Linked DNA regions of Arabidopsis thaliana. The protein of the gene in region 2 interacts with the protein of the main gene of each other region in a pairwise test. Each region holds a gene or a part of one and is shown on either strand. Other genes may lie near its edges.

Evidence for each region. The genes of interacting proteins can lie anywhere in the genome.
Region 1: the proteins of PDE345 (region 2) and ATARCA interact in a two-hybrid assay, tested with the Arabidopsis thaliana proteins (2 studies listed by BioGRID, with this or other methods).

Annotation. Positions count from the first base shown.
Region 1 is NC_003070.9:6,219,686-6,224,742, reverse strand, and holds ATARCA (Transducin/WD40 repeat-like superfamily protein), read right to left. Parts: upstream 2,543-5,057; 5' UTR 2,419-2,542; coding exon 1,537-2,418; intron 944-1,536; coding exon 842-943; 3' UTR 501-841; downstream 1-500. Other genes in the region: AT1G18090 (5'-3' exonuclease family protein), read right to left, coding at 127-204. UniProt on the Arabidopsis thaliana protein: Major component of the RACK1 regulatory proteins that play a role in multiple signal transduction pathways. Involved in multiple hormone responses and developmental processes.
Region 2 is NC_003071.7:93,282-99,337, forward strand, and holds PDE345 (Aldolase superfamily protein), read right to left. Parts: upstream 3,583-6,056; 5' UTR 3,211-3,582; coding exon 3,055-3,210; intron 2,943-3,054; coding exon 2,673-2,942; intron 2,578-2,672; coding exon 2,468-2,577; intron 2,365-2,467; coding exon 1,725-2,364; 3' UTR 1,446-1,724; downstream 1-1,445. Other genes in the region: AT2G01130 (DEA(D/H)-box RNA helicase family protein), read right to left, coding at 1-108, 248-343, 428-652, 747-834, 906-1,066, 1,214-1,354. UniProt on the Arabidopsis thaliana protein: Plays a key role in glycolysis and gluconeogenesis.

The sequences.
Region 1 (5,057 bases), on a different chromosome or scaffold from region 2:
ACAAAAATGTGTAAGCCCATCATTTAAAAACTTGATTTTTAATGGAGATTTACCCAGAACGATTAACGGAAACTAAAATCGAGAAGGAAATGGAGAACATTAAGAAAACAAGTCGGAGAAAATTACTCGTTTCCCGGCGTATTTCTGGATGTGAATGGGAAGGATATAAGGTTTCATGAATCTGAGAAGGTCCTTGATGCCCATTTCCGATTTCTTATCTTCTTCTTTTTAGGGTTCTTGCGAATTTGTCTTCTTTATTTTTCTTTTTATAGCCTTTTTTGTTTTGTTTTTCCAGTCTAGAGTAAAAAAGCATAAGTAAAAAAAAAAACTTAGCGCGAAAAGGCAATGGCGGGAGTGATTAAAATACGACAGATGCCACATCAGCAGTAATAGCGGCTGTTCGACTTTACCAGTCTATGTGGCGAAATTTCGTTGGTCGAAGGAAGCAGCAGTAATAGCGGCAGTTCATGTCCATTTCCAAAGATAGTATGTTCATGTCTATAACCTTCTTAGTTCGTTGCAAATCAGTAGTTTATTACATGTTAAAAATCATTTGGTTCATCTGTCATATTGGATAAAGTTACAAATTTTAGAGAATTCCGCTATTCCACCATTTCGCTATATTATTAATGGGAATCATTTGCCACAAAATGGGAGAAGTAACTCTAAAAACCAAGATCTCGAACGATAAGATAAAGAAGCAAAAACCTAGATTGACAAGAAAACAAACATCCTTCCAAAAACCTCAAGGTACTTCATGAGTTGTCGATAAAAACATAAGTGATAGATAAAACCAACAAGCAGATAGCAGAGAGCAACGACAGCACAAGTGATGAGATTACTAGTAACGACCAATACCCCAAACTCTAATGACTCCATCGGTGTAACCACTGAAGAGGGTGCTTCCATCAGCGCTCCAGTTAAGGCTTGTGCAGTAAATAACCTGACCCAATCAACAAACAAATTGAATTCAGTCACTTTCCATGGTTATTTACATGTACTATTACACAACAAACAAAGGGCTATGTATCAGGAGAAAAATATTACTACTACTATGATCCTAACAAGAAATGTCAGGTAATCAATGAGTATGGACACACAAAACCATTAAAAGACAACCTTAATTGACAATTTAGGCTCAAACTGGGGCGAAAACACAATTATGGTAATTGCTATATATGGAAGATTAAAACAGATAAAGAAGATAGAGAGCCTAAGTCTCCAAACGGAATGGTAATTCAAGCAAACATAATTGCAGAATCTGAAACTGAAACCAAGTGTAGAAGACCATTTACATATATCATCGTGTAGCATTTGAATAGAATAATCCATGTAAGAAACTTTTTACGAACTTTCACATTTTCAATAACAGACCAACATTACGAATTATGATATACTCAGCTATGGGTAATACTTAATCACAAGTCATAATCAACATCATAACCAACTACAGAAAATTCTTCCTATACAAAAGCTGAAAACTTGTAATCGATTAAAAGCATATGATTGAACCATCATGGGAAAATATTTGTGTACCTTCCTCTTGGTGGCAGCAGGACCACTGTTGTCAGCCTTTTCAGCCTCAGCCTTGAGATCAACCTTCAAATCCTCAACAATGCTCTTGCTCTCAAGGTCCCAAATCTTAATACCATGTTCAGTTGCAGCACAGAGCCAGTACCTGTTGGGACTGAAGCAAAGAGCATGGATCACAGAGTTAGCTTCAAGAGAGTAAAGCTTCTTCCCCTCAGCCAAATCCCACAGCAAAACAACACCGTCTTTGCCTCCACTTGCACAAAGAGAACCATCAGGTGATACAGCCACAGTGCTCACGTAACCGGTGTGACCAGCAAGAGTCGATCTGAGCTTGCAGTTCGAAAGGTTCCACACTTTCACGGTCTTGTCCCACGAAGCAGATACAATCGTCGGCTGAAGCGTGTTAGGGCTGAATCTGACGCAGCTAACCCAATCACGGTGTCCCTCACCACCTTCTGAAATGGTGTACTTGCACTCACCAAGAGTGTTCCACAGCTTGATCGTACGGTCACGAGATGCAGAGACGATCTGACGGTTGTCGAGTGAGAAGGCGACGGAGAGCACGTCCTTGGTGTGTCCAACGAATCTACGAGTGGAGACACCAGCAGCAAGATCCCAAAGACGGAGCTCGCCGTCCCAGCTGCCGGAAAGCGCGAATTGTCCATCGGAGGAGAGAACAACATCCTCAACGAAGTGAGAGTGACCAGTGAGACGCCTCTGAGCTACACCGTAGGCTTTGTCGTCCTTGGTGAGTTTCCACAAAATGATGGATTTGTCGCGGGAAGCTGAGACGATGATGTCTGCGTTATCGATTGGGGTGGCGATTGCCGTCACCATGTCAGTGTGTGCACGCATGGTGCCCTTCAAAACGAGTCCTTCCGCCATTTTCGGTGTCTGGAGATGCCTCTGAAACTAGGGTTTTCGTTTTCTCGGGGGAGGCGGAAATACAAAGAAGAAGGGCGTGAAAAACACAAGAAGCTATTTATATGATAGAAACTAAAAATGGATTAGGGTTCATTTAATATGGGCTCATATTATATATTTATTACTGGGTCTTATGTTAATGGGCTTATCTCAGCCCATATTTGGTGGAAGCGTTCGTAATTTGTTTCCATGTGTAAGAAAGCGTGTTCTCCAATTGGTATGTTCTAAAAGCCAAAAACGCATCCCACTACAGACCTTATTATATGGGCTATGAGTTGTTTAGTTCGGATTTGGAGAGACTGTTTTTGAGAATGATTTCTCGTGTTTTGGTGGATGCTATAAGGAATCCTGTTTTATGGCCAAGACTTGAATCTACGTTCGTGACATAATGGGCACGCTAATTCGAACAAAAGCGTCCCTATTTTTATCGTCATTCAGCGTTTTCATTTTCTGAGTTTGCTTTGATTCGAACAAACAATATATACGTGGAATGAATCATGAATGGCGCACAAATATACAACTTTACATTTATCTTACGTACATGTATATACTCATTTATCGTGGTCATTATTTTTGTATAGGTCAAATTTCTAACAACTCTTTTGTGAAAAAAGCAAAATTTCTTATATGTGGTACAGAGATTGACTAATTCGAGATTACATCAAATATAGTTATCAATCTGGATTGGTTAGATGTAATGTAGTACGTACATCTGCCGAAATAGTATAACATCGTATTGAAATAGCAGAAAATCTTATATAATTGCTGTTTTGGATGTAAATATTATGGATTATAGGAAAGCAATAAAACTTGCTAAAGGGAGAGAAATCTACAAAAAAAACCAGTTTGACTTATATATATACCGTTGTTTTACACTTTAAAAACATTTCCAGCTGTATTCAAAAATATAGTTTTGCAATCTGGATGCATCAAATAAGCCAATCCGAATTTAATAAGTTTGTTCAACAATGATAATTTTCTTCGGCTAAACTTATTTAAAAAGTTCAAACTAGATCTGTTGAGTATTAAATTTATTCGAACAGTGTGAGAGAGATATAGAGGAATACTGTAAATTAATTGATTCACTTAAATAAAAGCGGATCATATCTTTATACAATGGTGGATATGAATTGAAAAGTATTAACACGGTATATACTTGTAGACACTTAAACGACTTTATTGAGTCGAAAAAGTAATTTAGAGAAGTATAAACTCTAAATGTCTTCAAACATTAGAATTAACAATGATACATAACTGAAAAGTACGAAACTAATGGAAATACAAAGTACAAACCATAAAAATTGCATATATGTCACAAGAAAATAAAATAAAAAATCCTACTCAAGATCCATCATCCATGTTTATACACCTGCAACAGACAACACAAAAAATGAAAAGTCATTCTTAAAAGAACTAAAGATAGAGAGAGAGAGAGATAGGGATGGAGAGATGAAGAGCTCCCTTCAATCCAAAGAAGAGTGAAGCCATTAAAGGGGTAAGTGAAAGCTCCTGAGATATGGCATCCATAAAAAAAACCTTATCATCAATTATATTGAATTTGATAAGGCTTATGGGATCCATAGCTTAGCAGCTTTACTTCACCCTGCTAAACCCTCCATTGAACTTCAAGGAGCTCTTCCTCTTCTTCTTCCTTTGTTTTTCTATATAATCGTGTGGATCTGCTTTGACTAACTCATATATTCATACAATCAAAAAACTCTTGACCTTCTTTTAATTGGCAGTTACATGCATCTAACCTAAACCTATGCTTTAAAATATGAACAGCATTAGAGATCCAAGCAAGAAAAAGAGAGACATAATGTTGAATACTTGAGTTAATACAAAACCATTGAAAACTTATATATGGTTCGAAACAGGAGACAATTTGACTCAGAAAGAACCAATGGAAGGATAAAACTTGAAATGAAAAAGCTACTAGTATTAACCATAATATATATAGTGAAAAATCAAAATTATCAGATCTATTATGAAAGATAAAACATAGAAAAGAAGAATCCTGAAAAGAAAAAAAGGGAGGAGGAGAACAAAAGTGAAAAACCATTGAAACTTGAATGGCTTTTTAAAGACAAAAATCTGTAGCCCTAATGAGAAAGAAAGAGGGAGTCAAAGATGGTATTCATTTCGAGGACTTTTCTTAAACCCATTAATAGTTAGGATTATTGATTCATTTCACAGATTTTTTTACTTTTGTGATTTAATAGCTATTGATTCATTTCACAGATTTTTTGTTGTGATATTTAATGAAAAGCTATTAAATCACATATTTACAGCAATTGTCACTTCATATATATGATTTCATAAACCACTTATTTACTAGCAATTGTCACTTTCATTACTACTCAAGAACTTACTTTTTTCTAGTTATTTTTCTAATTCACTCTTTTTAGTCTGTTAATTTAATTAATTTATTTATTTAAATTGTTAATCATGAAACAAATCTTGCCAATCTTTTTCTAACCTACTTTAGATTGGAAAAATTCAATTGAATAAGAATATAATAAGAGAGTGGACACGCAACTAATGAATAGACGAGTCTGATAACGATTTTTGCTATTAAAGTAACATTTATTCATATGGAA
Region 2 (6,056 bases):
TATGATACTGGAAAAAGCTCCACGGTTTGCTTCAATCTCGGATTCTAAAATAAACTGCGGGATTTGTGTGGTCTTGCCGCAACCTGTTTCTCCAGAGATAACAATAACCTGCAATACGAAAATTTATGTGGGTAATCGGAACTAATACAAAACCAAGACGACCGTCAAGTTGATATTCGATTTTCTATTTGACACAGATGTCACACGACTGAGCTCAAGCATGCTTCCAGTTATCTTCTGTGCAGACCTGATTTTGTGAAATAGCTGTCAATACTGAATGCCTTTGCTTGAAAGCAGGGAGACTTGTACGAGAATCCAACATTCTTTGGCCTTCTACGGATGCCTAATCAATGGAACACATCAAAACTAAATGGACGATGAAAAAGCATAGATGAAGAATATATTAAGGACCTAATATAAACAGAACCTGCCAATATTGTTGTCGATCACGCAGCTGCAAACTCCTTTGCCAAAGAATTTTGGTGGCAGAGATGGGTAGTGGTTGCTCAGAAAACCATTCATCAGTACTGCTAATGCTACTAGTTCTTGAGACGGAATTGGCAGGGACTCTATCTATCCTATTAGAGCTTTTACTGAGGTATTCTGTGAGGTAAGCTTCAACTCTTTGAAGAAGGTCAGTATGCAAATTCACCTGTAAATATTTTTGTATATATCTGCTCTTTAAAGAAAAACAAGCCGTCTTGCGTTAAGTGTAAGAGAAGAGAGTGAGGAGCAGCGGATAATACCTCCCTCTGTGGCTTCTTGTCATCTAAATCAAACCTATAGTTGGGGAGTGGGATCTTACTGAAGACAACAACCTTAGCATATGCATGACTGCAAAAAAGAAACAGAAATGGTTGTACTAGTGAGAAAGAAGAAAGAAAGGAGCAGCATGATTGATGTACCTATACAATCCCAGGGTTGTAGCCAGAGCAGCAAGTTTATCAAAATCCCGTCTATCTTTTTTCTCCCTGGAAATAACTTCTTGCTTTAAAGAATCTTTCAAAAGCATTGAAAATCTCTTATTCCAATCATCCAAGTCGGCACAGTGAAAGGTACCCTCCTGCTGCAAATTGATATGGTTCCAGTAGAAAGATAAAGGGATTTTTATAAAATGCTACTCGAGAGCAAATCGAAAACTAGAATCGCCATTGTAAGAGCATCAATCAAAAAGCTCAGAGATGCATGAAAAAAAGATGAAGAAGAAGTTAACCGGTTGGCGATCCTCGGAAACGCGGTCATCATAAGCGGAGACATAGCGAACTGGAGAGAGAGGAACAGGATTGAAGCCGTAATCGGAACCAAGGCGCTGGTGAGGCGGAACGTACAGCGAAGGAGGAAGACGATTCGTCATCGGAGCCAAATTCAAAACTCTAAACTCTCTCTACTGTAAGTCAAAAGTAAACTATAAAGAGGGAGAGAGATCTCCGCTGCTTCTTCTAACACTGAACTTGCAACTATGCCAATTTTACCTAATCGCCCTCCAAAAATTTTGTAAACTTAAAAGAAGAATTACACAATTTGGTTTTGCAGTCAAACAGTAATCAGTCTTTCTGAGAGGAAATATAGATTTAAGAGGATGTTTTCACGTTGCTCACATACATATATGATATGATCGTGACTCGTGACTGTCTTTCTTTCTCAGAGACAAAACAAAAAAGGGAAAAAAAAACAAAAGACAACAATGGTCCTTAATCCTTATTACGATCTCTGAAATTAACAAATCAGTAGGTGTAACCCTTGACAAACATTCCTTTCTTGGCATCCTCGTTCTCTCCCTCGGCTGAGTATTTGCCGAGCTGGGCCAGTGAGTTGGCCTTTGCCCTCACCAACAGTGCCTTCTGCGAGGCCTCAATCTTCTCCGGCTTGCCTTGCCATGTTCTGAGCACGGAGTTCTGCAGGGCACGTGCGTATGAGAAGGACACATGCCATGGGTTTGGGCTCTGGTTCATGGCGTTCAGGTTCAGTGTGGCCTCTGCCTCTGATTGTCCTCCTGACAGAAACATGATCCCTGGGACAGCCGGAGGAACCCTCCTTTTCAGCATGGTGAGCGTGAAATCTGCAACGGTCTCGGGAGAGGCCTTGTTCTTGTGCTCAGCGCCTGGGGTGACCATGCTCGGCTTCAACAGAATGCCCTCAAACATGACGTTGTTCTGTGCCAAGTAGAAGAACACCTCTGACCACACTTTCTCTGCCACCTCCAGAGTCCTCTCTATTGGGTGGTCCCCGTCCAGAAGGATCTCTGGCTCCACAATGGGGACAAGACCATTATCCTGAGAGATGGCTGCATAGCGAGCCAGCCCCCACGCAGCTTCCTTCACAGCCAGTGCTGAAGGACCGCAGGGAACACTCACCACTGTCCTCCTAGACAAACACACACAAACATCAAAACTAGGAAGAGCATTTTCACATCAAACCAAAGAGTTAATACCATATGTAAGATAACATGGTGAAATATATGACATACCACTTGGCAAAACGAGCGCCTTGCTTGTAGTACTCAGCAGAGCGTGAGGCCAATCCATCCAAGCCTTGGCACCAAGACTCTTCGTTGGAACCGGCTAGGGGAGACAAGCCCTACGCGGTGGATTGCATTGTCAACACTTCACTCAACACACATAAAAACTCAACTACTTATGATGATGATGACAGAATAAATGGATAAAAAATACCTTGTCAACTTTGATGCCAGGGACGATGTTGGCATCGCGCAAGCAATCGACAAAGGTCTTACCGTCCTTGGTGGACTGGTAAAGAGTCTCCTCGAAGAGAATGGAACCAGAGATGTAATCGCCGAGGCCAGGAGTGGTAAGCAGAAGTTGCCTGTAGGCCTGACGGTTGTCCTCGGTGTTATCCAAGCCGATAGAAGCAAGCCTCTTCCCACAGGTTGCATTGGACTCATCGATCGCCAAGATACCTCTCCCAGGGGATGCAATGCTTTTCTATTACGCAATAATCAGAGAATCTCACTCTACGTTTGACTTTGAGAATTACGGAAACGAATCCAAACTAATAAAGCATCAAAGAGAGAGAGAGGATAAGGAGGATACTCACGGCGGTTTTAACAAGCTCGTCGGAGTAAGCACCGGCGCGGATCGCGAAGGAGACTCGAGGAGGAGGAGAAGAAGAAGCAGAGGTGTGAGCAAAGGAGCGTTGGCCGATCCATGGAGAAGAGAGGGTGTTAGGCTTAACGAAGCTAGCAGACGCCATAGGTAGTACAAGGAAGGTACAAAAGTGATGGTGATCAATCTCTCGGGGACTCCGCGGGACAGAGACAGAGAGAGATCTGGGATTTGGAGGAGAGTGTTAAAGCCAAAGGTTTTGTTTACTACTATTAGTAGTCGTCTACTTTGGCATCACCTACTCCCACCACCAAAAAGCCTCCTTCTCTTTACCATTTTATTCCCCAATTTACCGTAAATGACGCTTTTAACCTTGAGGGAGATACTGGTAATTTTTTCTAGTAGTTCATCAGTCTCTCAACAACAAGAATCTGAGAATAACCAAAACTCTACCGTTTCGTCTACCCAAACTATCCTTCTCCTACCATTGCCTCTTCGTCTAACTCAATCGTTTTTCTTAATTAATCAAATTACATGACCTATCACCTCTTCAAGGAGTGTGATGAAAGAGAATGGGCCGGATATTCCCTTTTTTATCTGTTGGGCCACAATAGTAAACAACTTATATAACAGGCAAACTCTTTTACGTAATTGATTTTTGGGCCCAATAGTAATAGGGCTTAGTTTCAGATAAACAATAAGAGCCCACGACAGCTTTGGTGTTCTTGGGTCTTTTTCTTTTTTTTTTTCCTTTTTATTAAGGCAACCATCCAATAAGTCCAAATATTGGTGTTACTCGTAACAGGCGAGGAAGGTGTAAACAAGAAGAGAGAAAATGCAAGTTCCGAGAAACGTTATATATATGCGACATGAGAAAGTGGCAACTTTTTCTTTCTTGTATCTTACACTACTTTTTTGTATTTTTAAAGTATCTTTGATTTGATAACAGTTTTCTAAAACTGTTGGCCACAATTTAAATGCATATTCATATGTATGTTCAAATTTACAGCAACTCAGTTTGACCCCACAAAAAAAGGGAAAAACAACAACAAAATTCAAGACTATATGACTAAATATGTTCAAGTGCTTCAATTATATATTAGGTACAAGAATATGAATATAATGCCAATCTTATCTTAATCAGAGTAGGAACTAGTAATTTTCATATTTTAAGACAAGTTTGAAAGTTGTTTTAATTAAACATGCGTAAAGTTCCATTCTCTGCTCTCAGATGAATGGCATATCGATCATAATTCACCTAGTACTTCTTCTAGAGTGTTCTACGCTGCCTCTACGTATTAGAATATAGTATATGTAAAAGGTGTTGGTGCAGATCTTTGATTAACACTTTGGTCAGTCACATATCTAATGATTTTTAAACGATAAACCCCAAAACGCGTCTTCATACAGTTCACATGCATATGTCACCCAGAAGAATTGACTCTCAGATCTTTCTAGGTGTTTGTGTTCACACTTCGCCACGCTCTCTCTGTTAGAAACGATTTAAATATACAAACAAAGCTAGTCAGTGTTTCCCATTCGAAAAAAGAGAAAAGACAAAAGAGAGTGTGTTATTTGTCTTGTAATGAAACCTATTGAGTATGGTTGACTGGTTGGTGCGTAGGGAGAAGCAGAAGGTGATAGGACCACGTTGTTGTTTATTTGGCAATTCTTTTACAAGCCCTTGGTCCTGTTTTCTCCATCTTCTCTACTTCATTTGTCATTTTCATTGTTTACTTATTAAATTTACATCCATGTTAACTATTTTCATTTAAACAACAACGTACGTGGACCTATCGACTGATCATCCCTTGGTCGACAAACAATGATGGATCGGAACTTGATTTGGTTTTCTTGAGTTATGTGAAAAAGCATCGCATTATCAATTTTAACAACTTTTCTATAGCTCTTAATTCTGTCTAGCTAATAGACCTATAGTTTCTAAAACAAATACTATAGTCTTGCAAGCCGCATGCTACCTAATGCAGTATATATTTGGATAATTTCAAATTGTCTTTATTATTTCCTCATATTTTTATTTAATTATTTAGATAATTTTTATTTATTGTTTTATGAATTTTCTAAAATTTTGGATTTATTATAATTAAGACTTTTGAACTTAAAATTGTATTCAGTTAATTGATTAATAAAATTAAGCTTTTACCTTTTCAGAGAAGAGTATTCTCTAATTCCTTGCTTTCGGTAGATCTTGAAAGATTTCAACGGTTATAAAAAGATGTAGGATTCGGTATTCGAAGAGAATCAACGAATTCCTTACGTTCTCTCGTTTCTGTTATTCTGAGGAATCAACAGATCCAAAAAATTCTAGTTTTCTGGTATTCCGAGGAATCAACGGATGTCTAGTTCTATCCATTAAAACTTCCGCTACTTCAGTTGGTATCAAAGCTAGAACTAGAGATTCGTTGATACACTTAACAAACAAACAAAAAAAACTTAAAATCAAAATTTGACACACACACCAAAATGAGTTACCTTTTACTCATTCATGTTCATACTATATAAAATATATTTTCGTCGAAACAATCACTCCTCCTAAAATATTTTAAATTTTTAATGCAAAAAATATTAGTTGTGTTTTGTTTATTTTATAATAAATGATTTAATCATATAAACAACGAGGATCGATAAGACACTCGCATGCTATTTTTACCAGGATTACATTAGAATGAGAGTCACAACCACATAATGAAGACGATCGTCTGCTAGCTATGTGACGAGAGATGGTAAGTGGTTTCAGATTTTATGATGTAAAGTGGAAGGAGTGGTCAAATAATTAGGTCAAAGAGAGTCGAGGTGGTTGTCACTGGTTGGCTATATCGATGACTAAACCACACACCTACACCTTCAATTTCTATTTTAATTATGTTTTCTGAATAACTTAATACTATCTTATATGATCGTTAGTAACAAATATTTTTTTAAAAAAAATTTATGTACATTCATAGGTAGCACGAAGTGAACAAATACTTGAAT